Linked DNA regions of Rhinolophus ferrumequinum. The protein of the gene in region 2 interacts with the protein of the main gene of each other region in a biochemical or structural test. Links are inferred from orthologs where the notes say so. Each region holds a gene or a part of one and is shown on either strand. Other genes may lie near its edges.

What was found.
Region 1: the proteins of ZEB1 (region 2) and USP51 form a complex in vitro, tested with the Homo sapiens proteins (2 studies listed by BioGRID). The link is inferred for Rhinolophus ferrumequinum from reciprocal best matches to the Homo sapiens genes ZEB1 and USP51.

What each region holds. Positions count from the first base shown.
Region 1 is NC_046284.1:80,835,573-80,842,407, reverse strand, and holds the start of USP51 (ubiquitin carboxyl-terminal hydrolase 51), read left to right. Parts: upstream 1-3,825; 5' UTR 3,826-4,218; intron 4,219-4,317; 5' UTR 4,318-4,542; intron 4,543-4,705; 5' UTR 4,706-4,754; coding exon 4,755-5,137; intron 5,138-5,215; coding exon 5,216-6,835.
Region 2 is NC_046288.1:2,887,995-2,895,198, reverse strand, and holds the start of ZEB1 (zinc finger E-box-binding homeobox 1), read right to left. Parts: upstream 3,013-7,204; 5' UTR 2,950-3,012; coding exon 2,892-2,949; intron 1,987-2,891; exon of another isoform or gene 1,882-1,986; coding exon of another isoform or gene 1,872-1,881; intron 1,075-1,871; exon of another isoform or gene 708-1,074; coding exon of another isoform or gene 701-707; intron 574-700; exon of another isoform or gene 397-573; coding exon of another isoform or gene 381-396; intron 1-380. UniProt on the Homo sapiens protein: Acts as a transcriptional repressor. Inhibits interleukin-2 (IL-2) gene expression. Enhances or represses the promoter activity of the ATP1A1 gene depending on the quantity of cDNA and on the cell type.

The sequences.
Region 1 (6,835 bases), on a different chromosome or scaffold from region 2:
AAGAACAAAATAAACAAACTAACCAGAAACAAACTCATGCCGGATCGAGGGGGCTTGGGGATGAGTGAAAAAGGGGAAGGGATTAAGAAGTACAAATAGGTTGTTACACAGTAGTCATAGGGATATCAGGTATCACATAAGGAATATAGTCAATAATATTGTAATAACTACGTATAATGTCAGATGGGTACTAGATCTATTGGGGTGATATATGGGAGGGTGGTTGGGGACAAGGTGAAGGGATTAAGAAATACAAATTGGTAGTTACAAAATAGTCATGGTGATGTAAAGTATTTGGAATGTAATAAATAATGTGGTAATAAATATGTATAATGCCAAGTGGATACTAGTCAGGAGGATCACTTCCTAAATTATATAAATGTCTAACCACTATACTGTACCCCTGAAACAAATATAAAATAATATTGAATGCCAACTCTAATTGAAAAATCAAAAAAGGGGAGAAAAGATAAAGAACAAGAAGAGGTTCAAAGTTCCAGGTACAAAACAAGTATTGGGATGTAATATACAGCATAGGAAATATAGTCAATAATATTGTGATAGCATGGTAGTATCAGATGGTTGCTGGAGTTATCATGGTGATCACTTCTTTAGCATAGGGAATATAATCAATAATGTGGTAATAACTCTGTATAACAGTACCCAGGTGAGTACTATTGAATAATTATGATGTACACTTGAAACTAATATAATATTGTATATTAGCTATATTTTCACAAAAGTCTTTTTTTTTTTTTTTAGAAAAAGAAAACCTTAAGAGAAGCCAAGACTAAATAGTCCTAGGAAACTAGCCACATCAGAAAGGGTTCCTGCTACTAAGGCCAGATGGCCTTGACCTGTGGTTCTTTATACATTAACCCACAGCAGTGGTTCTCAAAGTCCAGTCCCCATACCACAAGTATAGACATTCAGCAGCAGCATTAGCTGGTAAATTGTCAGAGACAAATTATTGGGCCTCCTCCTGGTTACATAGCTAGCAAATGACTGAGTCAGCAATTCCATGTAGGTCTGCTAACCCAAAAGAAGCAACTCTTCTGTTAGCTATGGTTGAGTAAATGCCCTTACCTGGTATGTGTGTGGGGGAGGAGGGGGAGGAGGAATTACTATTTTCCTTTGTAAATTAGTCTACAATTCCAAATTTTTTTTCCCCCAGGTACTTCTACATGAAATCAGATTTGGACATGTTTTCCAGCTACACTTCTACAGGAAGCCTTTCTTTGAGAATGGTCTCTTCATGCAGCCTTCCCTCTGCTGAAAAAGGGTCTGGGATAGGAGAGGATGAAGGGTGGGGTCGTACCCAAACTGAGGGATTCAACAGGACCCTCCTCAGAGAGGCTGGGTCCAGCAGGGCCCTGCCTGTGTAGTGCTGCTCTACTGAGGGACCCTCTCCTGATCTGGGGGATCAGAGAAGCCTCTTGGAGGAGGGAACACTTGAGCTGGGTGTAAAGCAGGGGAAACCAGGAGGGAGGCCAGATCCTTGGGGATCGGTCCAGACCAACACCAACTCTGGGGATGCAGTTGGGGCAGGACCTCTGGGGTGACTTTGGAGTCATCATGGAATCCTGAGGATCTACTCCCTCTCCCTCTTCTAGCCTTCAGGGCTCTATTGTCAAGAAGTGGATTGGAATCACAAGGTTCAGTGTGGTTGGAGCAGACCAGTATGTGTGTGGGGGGGGGGCGGTGACTGGCTGTTTTTCAGGTACAGCTGGCACTGCTGGGACTTCCAGGGACACTAAGTTTTCCTTACCCCTCTCCAATTTCTGCCAAAGGAGGAACACACAAGAAAAAGGGTAATTCAGATGGAAGGGAGGAATCAAGGGGGGTAGGAGGGACTGCCCCTTAGGCCACCAGAGGCCTTCCCCTGCCCCTATGCCACCCACCCACTCACTAGCAGGAGAGCCAGCCATTTATTCTCTATGATCCCGCCTCCTGTCAAAGTCTTCCGGAGCATCCACTGGTGACTCCATTTCTGCTTCTCTTACCTCACTGCCACCTCGTGTGTGTGTGTTCCTTTACCCTCTGGTGCCATCTTTCCAAATTGTACGTCTAAATCTCTAATATTTACACAGCTCCAAGTTTCATGGTGTTAGAAAACCTTACTGTGCTTGTTATGATGATGATTATTTTATTAAAAGTTCTTTGGAAACTCCAGAGGATGAAAAACTAACGTGCCTCAGTCTGAGCACATCATCCTCTGTCTTGAGGCTCCTTCTCAAGGCTCCTGTACTGATAGCTTAGCTGTATCTAGAGAAACTGAAAATTATAGCCTGAAAACAGTAAGCCTTCCCTCTCTGGTGTGAGGTTGTGGCAGAACCATGAGAGTGACAGTGGCCTTTCTAGTCAGCTACGTGGCCCTAAGCTGATTTGGGGGCCAAATATCTGAATTGGAAATCTCATGAGGATGCCTTTCAAGATTGCTGTGAGTTTATAAGAATTGCTAACAGGTCAAGTCAGGTCTTTTCTGACTCGAGGAAACGGAATTTTAACAATGATGTGTAGCTTGCTGAAGGTTAAAAACACAGCTTCTAGTGATGAAAAAGTATAAGAGAATTGTTCTCTTGTGTCCCAGGCAAATGATCCTGAAAACATATTCATCTGAAGGAGACTTGTATTTGAACCTCTCAATCTATAGTCATTTTGAGCCACAGAACAGTTATGGTGATTCTTCTCTTCAAGATCATGTTGATCTGTGCTCACTCTGTAAATTCATATAGATTATTGACTCTCTTTGACCTCCTGAAATCATTGCCATCCATTTTGGGAAGGCAAATATCACTCCCAAGCCAGAGAGACCTGAATTCTAATTCTGAAGTTTAGAAAGGTGGTGCACGACTGTTCCAGAGAGATTAAATGTAGCATTAAACCTCCTCACTGAGAAGCAGGAATATTCTTGGGATTGGACAGGAAAGGCAACAAGTTCTAGAAATAGCACCTTTTGTGGGGGTTGTGACCTTGGGTACTGAACCTGTTAAAGGGAAGAAAAAATCTCCTGGACTATGAACTCCTGGAAGACACAGATTGTTTTAGTCTGTGTTTTTCACAGCACAATCTAGCACAGTAGTACAGTTAAGGGATCCACATTTATTGACTGCATGCTCATGTAAATGAACTGTTTAGGAGGGATAATCTGGTAAACAGAGCAATAACTTTGAGAGGGCTTTGAAAGAGAAGTGTTCGCTTTTGCTCTACTGTAAGTATCAGGCATTATGCTATAGGCTGAGTTTTAAGGTGGGGACTGTGAAAGAGGTGAAAAAGATAAAGCTTGCCATAAAGATCCTTTAGTTTACACATACTGATTTAGTGTTCATAATAGGTTAGTATTATTTCCATTTTTGTTTAACAGATGCTACAACTAAGGCTCAGAGAGGTAATGTGTTTTATCTGGGCTCACACAGCTAGCAAGTGCCTGGGCTCTCCTATCTGAGCCTGAAGCCTTCGCTTATGCTTCCTGTCCCCACACTCCAGAATAACATTCCGCAGTCCACTTAACTCCCAGGTATCAGACTCTGATGGGTCCCTAAGGGATTCCTGCCAGAGTTGCCATCCCTTCAAACCCCCACCCCCACCCCAATGAATCATTTTTCTGCCGAGCGTGGGCCTGGAGCCAGGTGAGGCCACAGCCTCCATTTCAGGGGCTTTCTCTAGACTCTGTCGCTGTGGTTACCTCCAGTAGAATCTGTTTCAGGAAGAGGTTTGTCTGACTGCGCGGACAACGGTGCCACTCATCACTGAAGGAGGGCAGAATCCGGGGCTGGGGGCCGCACGTCGAGAGGGGTGGGGCCAGGGGGCGGCCCCCTTGTGACCAGCCCTGAGGAGAGGTCAGGAGAGAAGGCTGGCTGAGGAGCGCCTGGACAGCAGCAGCTGCTGACGTTCTGAATCACGCGCCTGGGGCCCAAGGTAACCCAGACCTTTAAACAAACAGCGGGGCTGGGGGCGCTGCGTGGGCGGGGGCGGGAAGGGGCAGGGACTTCGGGCGTTCAGCACTGAAGACGTGAGCGTCCAGCGCGTGGAGGGCGTGAGAAGGAGTCCGAATTCTCAGAGGAATTATAGGGAATGAGGGTGCTGAAGCAAGAAACGAGGTGTGAGAGAGAACACAAGCGCGAAGGAGCATGAGAGGGCACAAGAAAGTGGCAGAGGAAAAGACTGCGCTTGGAGGTAGGGGCAAAAGGTGGAACACAGCCAGCCGGAGAAGCACAGGTAAGATGGGAGTAGGGAGACATTTTCTTCCCCTGAGCCCATTTTCCATAGGTGGCCCAGCCATTTTTAAGGTAAAATGTTGACCCAAGTGTGTTTTAGGATATAAGGAATGAACGTCAGAGGAAGCTGTACCAAAGTGAGGCTGCGCAAGGCCCAGGAAAGGCAGTCTGAGGGTGGCGCCTTTTTTAAAGATTCCATCTCTTTCCACCCTAAAGCTCAGGCCGTACCCCCGCCCCCACCTTTTCCAGCCGCCGTCTGCCTGCCTCCCTCCCACCCCGCACCACCCCCTCGGCCCCGGGCAAGATCCGATCGCCTTTAAACCAGGTAACCAACCGCTTCGGTCTCCACACCAGTTCCAGGAGCCTCTGAATAGAGGGGGTGGAGCTCGCAGCGGCCGGTGGGAGGGTCCCGGGGGCGCTAATGGCCCGCCGCGGCCATGACGCCGGCCAGATTATTCACAGCTATCTCTGTCTCATTCCATCTACAGTGGCAGCTCGATTCCAGACGCCTTTCACTCCAGACCAGGCGGTGAGCTGATGGCCCAAGTTCCAGAAGCTGCCTCGTCCTCTGGCTCTTTGGTCCGTTGGAGCTCGAGAGGTGGGGGAGGAGCCTCGTCCGAGGAGGCGGTTGAGAAGGCGGGGGAAATGGAGGTGGAGGCGGTGGGCACGACGAAGGCGTGTGCCGGCCAGGGAACTGAGAAGATGAAGCTGGAGCCATTACAAGAGCGTAATCCTGTGCCTGAGGAGAACCTGACCTGGAGCGGCAGCGGTGGCGACGAGGTGTTCCCTTCAACCCCACCCCGCTGGCCCAGCAGCTCCTCGCCCCTCTGCCCGCGCCGCAAGCCCCGCCCTCGGCCCCAGCCCCGGGCCCGCTTCCGAGGACCGCCCGGACCCGAGGCCCCACCCCCGCCTCCAGCTCATCTGCCGCCGCCGCCGCCGCCGCCGCCGCCGCCGCCGCCGCCGCCGCCGCCGCCGCCGCCGCCGCCGCCGCCGCCGCCGCCGCCGCCGCCGCCACCGCCGCCACCGCCGCCCTCGCCGCGGCCCCGGCACTGGCGCAGACCTCAGCGTAGATCCCGGCCGGCGTCCAGGCCTCGGACGCGGCAAAGCTGTTTTGGTGACTTAGGCGGCTCTGGGGATCGAGGTGGCTTTGGGGACTGGCTGCTGGAGGTGGAGTTTGATCAGGGTCCCGCGGGCTGCTCTCATGTGGAGAGCTTTAAAGTAGCGAAGAATTGGCAGAAGAACCTTCGGTTGATCTACCAGCGTTTCGTTTGGAGTGGGACCCCGGAGACTAGGAAGCGTAAGGCAAAGTCCTGCATCTGTCTTGTATGTAGTACCCATGTGAACAGACTCCACTCTTGTCTCTCCTGTGTCTTTTTTGGTTGCTTTACTGAGAAACATATTCATAAACATGCAGAAACAGAACAGCACAATTTAGCTGTAGACCTCTACCATGGGGTTATATATTGCTTTATATGTAAGGATTACGTATATGACAAAGACATAGAACAGATTGCCAAAGAAACAAAAGAGAAAATGTTGAAATTATTAACTTCCACCTCAACAGATGTTTCTCAACAGTATATGGCATCAGGTGTTGAAGAGAAGCAATCAACCTGTGAGTCAAAGGAACGACAGCCAAAATTGGTGAAACCCAAGAAAAAGAGGAGAAAAAAGTCAGTGTATACTGTAGGCCTGAGAGGGCTAATCAATCTTGGGAACACCTGTTTTATGAATTGTATTGTCCAGGCACTTACCCATATTCCTCTTCTGAAAGATTTCTTTCTCTCTGACAAGCACAAATGTATAATGACAAGCCCCAGTTTGTGTCTTGTCTGTGAAATGTCTTCTCTTTTTCATGCTATGTACTCTGGGAGCCGAACTCCTCACATTCCCTATAAGTTACTGCACCTGATATGGATTCATGCAGAACACTTAGCAGGGTACAGGCAACAGGATGCCCATGAGTTCCTTATTGCAATATTAGATGTGCTGCATAGACACAGCAAAGATGATAGTGTTGAGCAGGAAGCCAGTAACCCCAACTGCTGTAACTGCATTATAGACCAAATCTTTACAGGAGGCTTGCAGTCAGATGTCACATGTCAAGCTTGCCATAGCGTCTCCACCACAATAGACCCATGCTGGGACATCAGTTTGGACTTGCCTGGCTCTTATGCCACATTCAGTTCCCAGAGTCCAGAGAGGGCTGACAGCACAGTGTGTAGGGATGACCACATACCAGGAATCCCCTCACTCACAGACTGCCTTCAGTGGTTTACAAGGCCGGAACACCTAGGAAGCAGTGCCAAAATCAAATGCAGTAGTTGCCAAAGCTACCAGGAATCTACCAAACAGCTCACAATGAAGAAATTACCCATTGTGGCCTGTTTTCATCTAAAGCGGTTTGAACATTTAGGCAAACAGAGACGAAAGATTAATACTTTTATCTCCTTTCCTTTGGAACTGGACATGACTCCATTTTTGGCCTCCACTAAAGAGAGCAGAATGAAAGCTGACCAACCACCAACAGATTGTGCACCCAATGAGAATAAGTATTCCTTGTTTGCAGTGATTAATCACCATGGAACTTTGGAAAGTGGACACTACACCAGCTTTAT
Region 2 (7,204 bases):
ACAATGGCATATATAACTTCATTTTTAATTTGCAAATTATAAGGCTTAATCAAATAGCACGACAGTAATCATCAGCAATGGATGAAATGCATTTGAGAACAAAAAGAAATACAAGGACAGAGCCAAAAGTGACGAAAATGGAAGATACCTGTAGTAGTATAGTGCTATCTTAAACACCTTTTGTTTTCTCAGAGTAATGCATACTGCAGACAAGACATTTTGTGCTAAGCAGCCCCAAATCTGTTTTTCTAATATTAAAAACAAAGGAAAAACACTGACAGTAAGCGTGGTAAATAAATCCCTCCCTTGAGAATGAAAGCAGCAGACAGGAGGGGGCTGACATACATACAGGAGAAAACTAAACACCATCTTTTTTCTACCTGCACAAGTTGCCATTTGCTGCAGCGACCGAGAACCTCTTTTTCCTGTTGATTTCAAGTACCTTTCAGGATAGCTTTTTTCCCCCTTAAGTCATCTGTTGATATGCCTTATGGGTGTAATATTCACATCGCAGGATCTTTAGGAGAAAAATCCATTCTTTCCTGCTCAGGTAAACATGTTTACAGCAGCTGCACAGACGCTGGGTGGTTCAGACTCACATGTCACACACATGTCGTCAGCAACAAGAAAAGCCCCTTTCTATGGCGATGAACATTTTAAATAAGGTAAAAAGCGAACAACCCTTTCTGAACCAACTTACCTTTCATAAAGCCACATCAGCAACAGCGGCAACAGCTCAATACAGAACACACAGTATTTGACGCTAAAACAGGAAATTAAAATTGCAATAGCCTATGCTCTGCTCCTTACTGTAACAAGTCATCTCTCACAATGAGGATACAACATATTAGTTATCGATCATAATTGTTTGATGCTTTTAAATGCAAACATTTGAATAACTACAATCATTCGTGGAAGCAGTGATTTTAATGTTGGTTCAAATATATTAAAATGTTTACGATTGGAAGGAAACATCTTGAAACAGCTTAAAACCTTCGTATCTGCTTCTAGACAGGAAATCCCACACAAAATCTAAAATTGCCAGGAAAGGTTACAAAACCTCGCGTTTCGCATCCCAGAGGGGAGGGAGAAAGAGAGGCCGGGCGCGGGGGAGGGGGCGGGGGGATCGCGAGAGTTTTTACTTAAACACATATTTCCTCATTTTCTGGAAGATACAGTGATTCCATTATAGGCGCATTTATTTCCCTACTCTTAAAAACTCGTTTTAAAAATAACGCAGGAACCCAGACAAGCCCCTCGGTCCAAATGTACGTGTAATTCCTTATATAGCCTGGGCCGCAGCCGGCGGCAGAGCCGTTGCCGCCCATTATTATACAAACAGGTACCCGGCCGGCGGGCGGGGGCCTCTCCCCGAGCTCCTGCCGCCCCCGGGCGGACAAGTCTTGCCCCTCTCGCCACAGGAACTGTCCAGACAATAACAATCAGCAGACATTTCGCTGCTGAACAGGGGGGAGAGAAAGCACAGAATCGCCCCTGAGATAAGCAAAAATACAATCAACTTACAACGTCTCTCCAAACTGGAAAAGGCCAATGTGCAACAACAACCACATGTTCGGGTCTCTCTCGCTCTCTCTCTCTCTGTCTCTCTCTTTATTTATTTAAAACTCTCACGCCAGGCCGAGGGGTGTGTATTTCCCCGGCACATCAGCACAGATCAATAAACACTGCAGCTGCAGAGCGAGCAGCCGACCCGCACGTCCGTCAGTTCGCCCTCCCCCTCCCCCACTCCCTTTCCACCCGAGTCCGCGAGCGCCATCCAAGCTCCATTATCCGGCTTCAGCGCTCCGAGCGTCCGGCTCAGGTAACAACTTCCCCAAAAACCGAAAGAGAAAAGAGAGAGGCGTACGCACACAGCCCCATCCCAGCGCGGAGAAGGAGTCTTCCCCGGGGAGGGAGCTCTGTCTGTGGTGCTTTCCTGTCTCTAACCAGGTAACAACTCCACAAACACACCCGCTGCCCGGCTCGCCGCCATCCACAGATCGCCCCCAGCAGCAAGTAGGCGCCCGCTGCTGCCCCGCCGTCCCTGCCGCCCCACCAGCGCCCCACAGGACGTGGACCTCACTCGCAGGGCTTGCCTCGGCGGCCCAGGGCGCGGTGGCCGGGGCGCGGGGGAGGAGGGGCACTTAGGGACCCGCGCCTCCGCCGCTAATCCCCACTCCGCGAGCGCGCCGGCCGGTCACAACTTTACAGCAGCGGGCTGAGCCCCGTCCGCCCGCGGCGCGCCCCGCCGGCGCCCGCGCACACGCGCGCACGGACGACACGCAGCCGGGCCACCGCGTCCCATCGCCCGCCGCGCGCCCGCAGCCGACCCACCCTGCCCGAGCCGCGGGGCCCAAGCGACGGCGCGGGCTGGGGCCGCGACGCGCGGAAGCCACTTTGCACGGCCAGCGCCGGCACAAGTTAGTTCCCGGCTCCCGGGGGCCTCGGCGCTGAGGGAGAATACGGCGGAGGGGGCTGAGGAGGAGGGGGAGCGGGGAGGCGCGAGGGGCAGAAGAGTGGGGAAAAGTGAGAAAAGAAGCAACAGCCTCTCCACCCGGGACCAGAAAAGTGGCCGCCGCGTCCCGACCGCTCGCCCTGCGCCGGGGATGCGGCGGCGCCGGCTAACGGTCCAGGGAGGCGGCAGGGGCGGCAGGAGCCGCTAGGCGGAGAGAGACCAGGTAAGAGACATAACGGTTCAGGGAGAGCGAGCGGCCGCGGCGCGGCTCCGGCAGCGGAGGGGGGCAGAGAGCACTACTTTCTACTTTCCCACTCCACTTTGCCAGTCCCTGCCCCGGCCGCCCCCAGCCCGGCTCGCCCCCCTCACCTCCGGGGCGCCCCGGCTGCCCGGCTCCCCCTGACTCCGCCGCTCCCCGGTCCCCTCCGCCACTCACCGTTATTGCGCCGCGGGTTCGCCTGCTTTCTGCGCTTACACCTGGGGCCATCCGCCATGATCCTCTCGCTTGTGTCTAAATGCTCGAGTCACCTCCTCCCCCTCCCTCCCTCCTCCCCCCCACCCCTCCGCCTCCACCCCTCCCCCCTCCCCACCGCACCTGGTTTACGACACTCGCGGCTTTACGACATCACCTTCCTTACACCTAGAGCCGCTCGCTCTACGGCCGGAACCTTGTTGCTAGGGAGAAGACGGTTTGCGGCAACACTGGAAACAGCTGTGTTTGAATTGAGGGCCGAGGGAAAAGTTTCCCTCAGGTGTCTTGGGATGGGGGAGGGAGACATTGGGAAACTGTGGGGACCTGGTCAGACGGGCGACAGGCTGTCAGACTGAGAAAGGTAAAGGAGGAGGTTCCGCCGCGTTCTGCCTGTGAACTGGCCACACCCGCCGCGAATGCTTGGGGCTCGTACGGGTCTGACCGATTCTAGTCGGGACCTTGTGTCCTCAGAGTAACCGGAACAACCTGTCTTCCCTCTTCCTCAAGGTTAGGCTCCGCTCCCACGCAGCGTTCGTCCGCTCTGCGCACCCCGGGGCTCCGCAGAGGGTCGTGCCCCGGACTCCCCCGGGAGTTGCCCGGGTTAGGAGAAGGGCAGGTTCGGGAACGGTGAAGGACTGTTTTGGGAAGCTCAGCCTCTGACCGCGAGGACGCACGGCTTCACGAGAGAGGCTACCTGACCCCCGCCCCGCCGCTCTGACTCCCTTCCATTACACGCATGGTTTTCCCCTCAGGGAACTGGGATGGGAAGTGACTTCAATTAGATAGAACTTCAGCTGGACCGAAAGAGAGGCTAGAAGTTCCGCTTGCAAGCCAGCTCGGCGGGGAAGCAAAATGAGTAATACCCACACTGCCCCTGTCTCACTTCCTCATCCACACCAGACTCACCTGTCACCTCCGCCTGCCCCCCGCCCAGCCTCCCTGCTCTGAGCGGTCCTCTGGGCTTTCCCCTTAGAGTAGTCCCACGAGATCTTGGGCGTCAAGAGTCAAAGTTAAGCTATTAACAGGCCGTGACTTACCATCTAAATGGGTAGTTACCTGTATATAGGACGTTAAGGCAACAAGCATGGCTCACAAATGCGGTCTTTGAGACTGATAGATTGCTGATCTCATCTCAAGTCCCTGACTTGGTATAAATTTGGGGGATGTCTAAAAGACCGTATAGATAACACCACAAATACCAAGGAAGTCAAGTCTGAAGTAGTCAGTAGGATTTAGCTTTCCACTTCTTCCCCCCCTCCCTTTCAAATAAGGAAAAGTCTTTGGGACCAATTTTATGAAATGAGCTGAGCTGTATTTCAAATAATATAGTTATAAATTAACAATATACGAATTATTGGTAGAGAAATTGAGAAACCTGAAACATGACACGTAGAGTACTAGAAATAAAGTTGCCCAGCACAGTGCTCTCACGGTAGGTGCTCATAAATGTATGCCTGTAATTTTTGTCATACCTATGGCAAGATTCTTTATTATGTTAAAATAATCTTTTAAACACGCTCCAGAATTTTAGAAGATTCATTAATAATCTCTTCAAACCTTTCAACTGAAATTTACAGCTGAAGTCTAGTAATTTAATATTAGAAAGTTTAATCCTGAATATGAGTATAGATGAAAATTTTCTCACTCACGTTTGCTTTGGGACTTTGAGAAGTGAATACATTATTTATTGGTGCATGAAATGTGACTGTAAATATTCTTTGCTATATATTATGTCTATATATCTACTCTCGTCCTCAGTGCCAAAACTACTCATTATTCTTTATGATCATTTAAGTACAGGCAATTCTCCCTTTCCTCAATACCATGTTAACTGAACTTGGGCATGTTAGAACCAGAAAGGTGTCCATGCTTTGCTTTATTCAAGTGGTAAGTTTCCTACTTTTTTATAACTGTGTAATGTTCTTTATTTGCCTTCTGAATCAGGTTATAGAATTTGTCCTTTGCCAACACCGCCCCCTCCCCAACAAACACAACATTTTTACAGTTACCCTAATTTCCAGTAAAAAAAAAAATACTTTCTAATTCTAGCATACATTTGATTTACTCTTAAACTTAGGAAACATCACATGCTGTTTTCTCTTTCTGCCTGTCTTGTACCTCCCTACTAAGTTTCCTTCAGTGTTCATCCTCACCTTGAAATCAGAGATAAAGTGTAAGGGACTCAGGCACAAAGTAGAAGTCATTTTCTTCCATACCTCAGTGCTTACTGGTTTACTTAGCTTGGGCCAGACTTATTTAACTCCATGTGAACAGATTCATTATTATTATTATTATTATTATTATTATTATTATTATTATTATTTTATTATTCTGTTCATGCCTGTGTCCTCAACACCTAGCAGAATACCTAGTCACATAGTAGATGCTCAGTAAGTAAATATTTTTTAAAATAAATTAATACTGTTGATCTTTTCAGAATCTGTTCTTGGCTATAAAATAAGGATTGTTTATTTACCTTCATCACATTTGTTCGTAGGAGCAGTTGAAATCATGGACATAAAAAGCTGTTTACTGTCATTTATATCCTGTCTTATTTTGAGACTAATTGGTCTTGATTTTAGATTCTGCATAATCATTTTTCCCAAATTATTAACTCAATTCACTCCTATTTTAAAAATATGTACAGGAAATACTATTGATATTCCAACTCTTCCTATACAAAATTTCAATTTTATAAAGTCCTGTAATCATGTATATTATAAACTGAATATTTGATTAATATACTTTATTGTAAATGTTCCCCAAGTTATTGAAATCTGGACTTGAAAGAAAGCAGACAAAAGTAAATCTCAGAATAAATTGCTGCTTTAAACTTGAAGCATTTGTGATAGCACTTATCTCTTAAATATAACTAAAAAATTGGAAAAAGCCTTTAAAATACATTTAGAAAAGGAATAAATTTATTAGAATTTAGGTTTATTTAAATCAAACATGGTAGGATACTAATAAGAGTTTAATGTGTATTCTGTATTGTTGGATTTTAGCAATTGTAGTGCCATCATACGATATATGCTATTCAATATATACTATTTTTAATGTCAGTGAAATGTTCACATTACTTCTAGTGAGCACTGAGATTGCATATGCTGAAGAAGAGGTATTCTGCTGAAAATGAATTACTGTAATCTTTTCTAAATTTACAGGAAAAAATGTAAATGGGTAGAATATTTTCAGTATTGAGTTTTTCCTATAAATTTTTCATGAACCCTTTGCACCTGCTATTTGCTTTCCATATGAGATTCATGTGTAAGTGAGGGTAAAATTTGACATAAAATTATTTTAAGTTTCAAATGTAGATATTCCATGGTGTTCCACATTGCGTCTGATTTCCATGTACCTAAGTTCCTGAACACATTTGACAAGTATAACTTACATCATTCTACAATCTTCATAAAAATAAAAAAGTTGGTTATTTTCATGGAAGGATAACATTAATTATGTTAATTAGGTTAATTACGTTAACATGTGATTTTAATATTAGTGCTTGAAGGAAAAAGACATTTGATACCAGTTTTCCGTCAAAGTATAGAGTTTAGAATCCCCTAAAGTTGTTCCTCAATCCTTGGCTCAATAGTGACTCTGGATATGTGTGTGGTTCACAATGAAACAAAAGAGGGCAGTCGTAATTTCGCTGCCTGCAGTTTCACCAAATTCTGCAATGACTGAGGCAGGAAGGAAATATGACTACAGGGTGATGCAGAACCGACAGTTGTCTTTAGTACCCATGATATAGCCTCCCAGGAGGGAATAATAGGGACAAATGTTTTCCCCAGACCTCCATGTGATTTTATTATCTATTGCACAACAAAATGGTATTTCCCCCTCTGGGGAACAAGGCTCCTATTTTTAATATAAGTCAATGAAATGTTAACACATGGAACTTCTTATTTGGGGGGCAATTTTTCAGGAAGATGTCTAATATGGAAAGATGTAAGTAGAAAAATAGAGAGGTTTGAAGGAGGTTAATGAACATCCAAAAAATAAAACTAATCTTTTTCATAAAATTACAGTAGTTAAAACAAATTGCTTTCAATTCCACAGTAGATTATAGTTGCTAATATTGATATCACACATGAACATGAACAGCATTTTTTCTATACTAAACAATTATAGATAATTTGTGCTAGAGAGAGAGCAACTTGCATATTTTATATTTGAGTAAATTTTTAGTATTCACCATGATATCAGAGGGCTGATACCTGTTTCTATTGTTTTTTTCCCCACTTTGTCTTCATGTATTTTTCTCTGGCATCTTA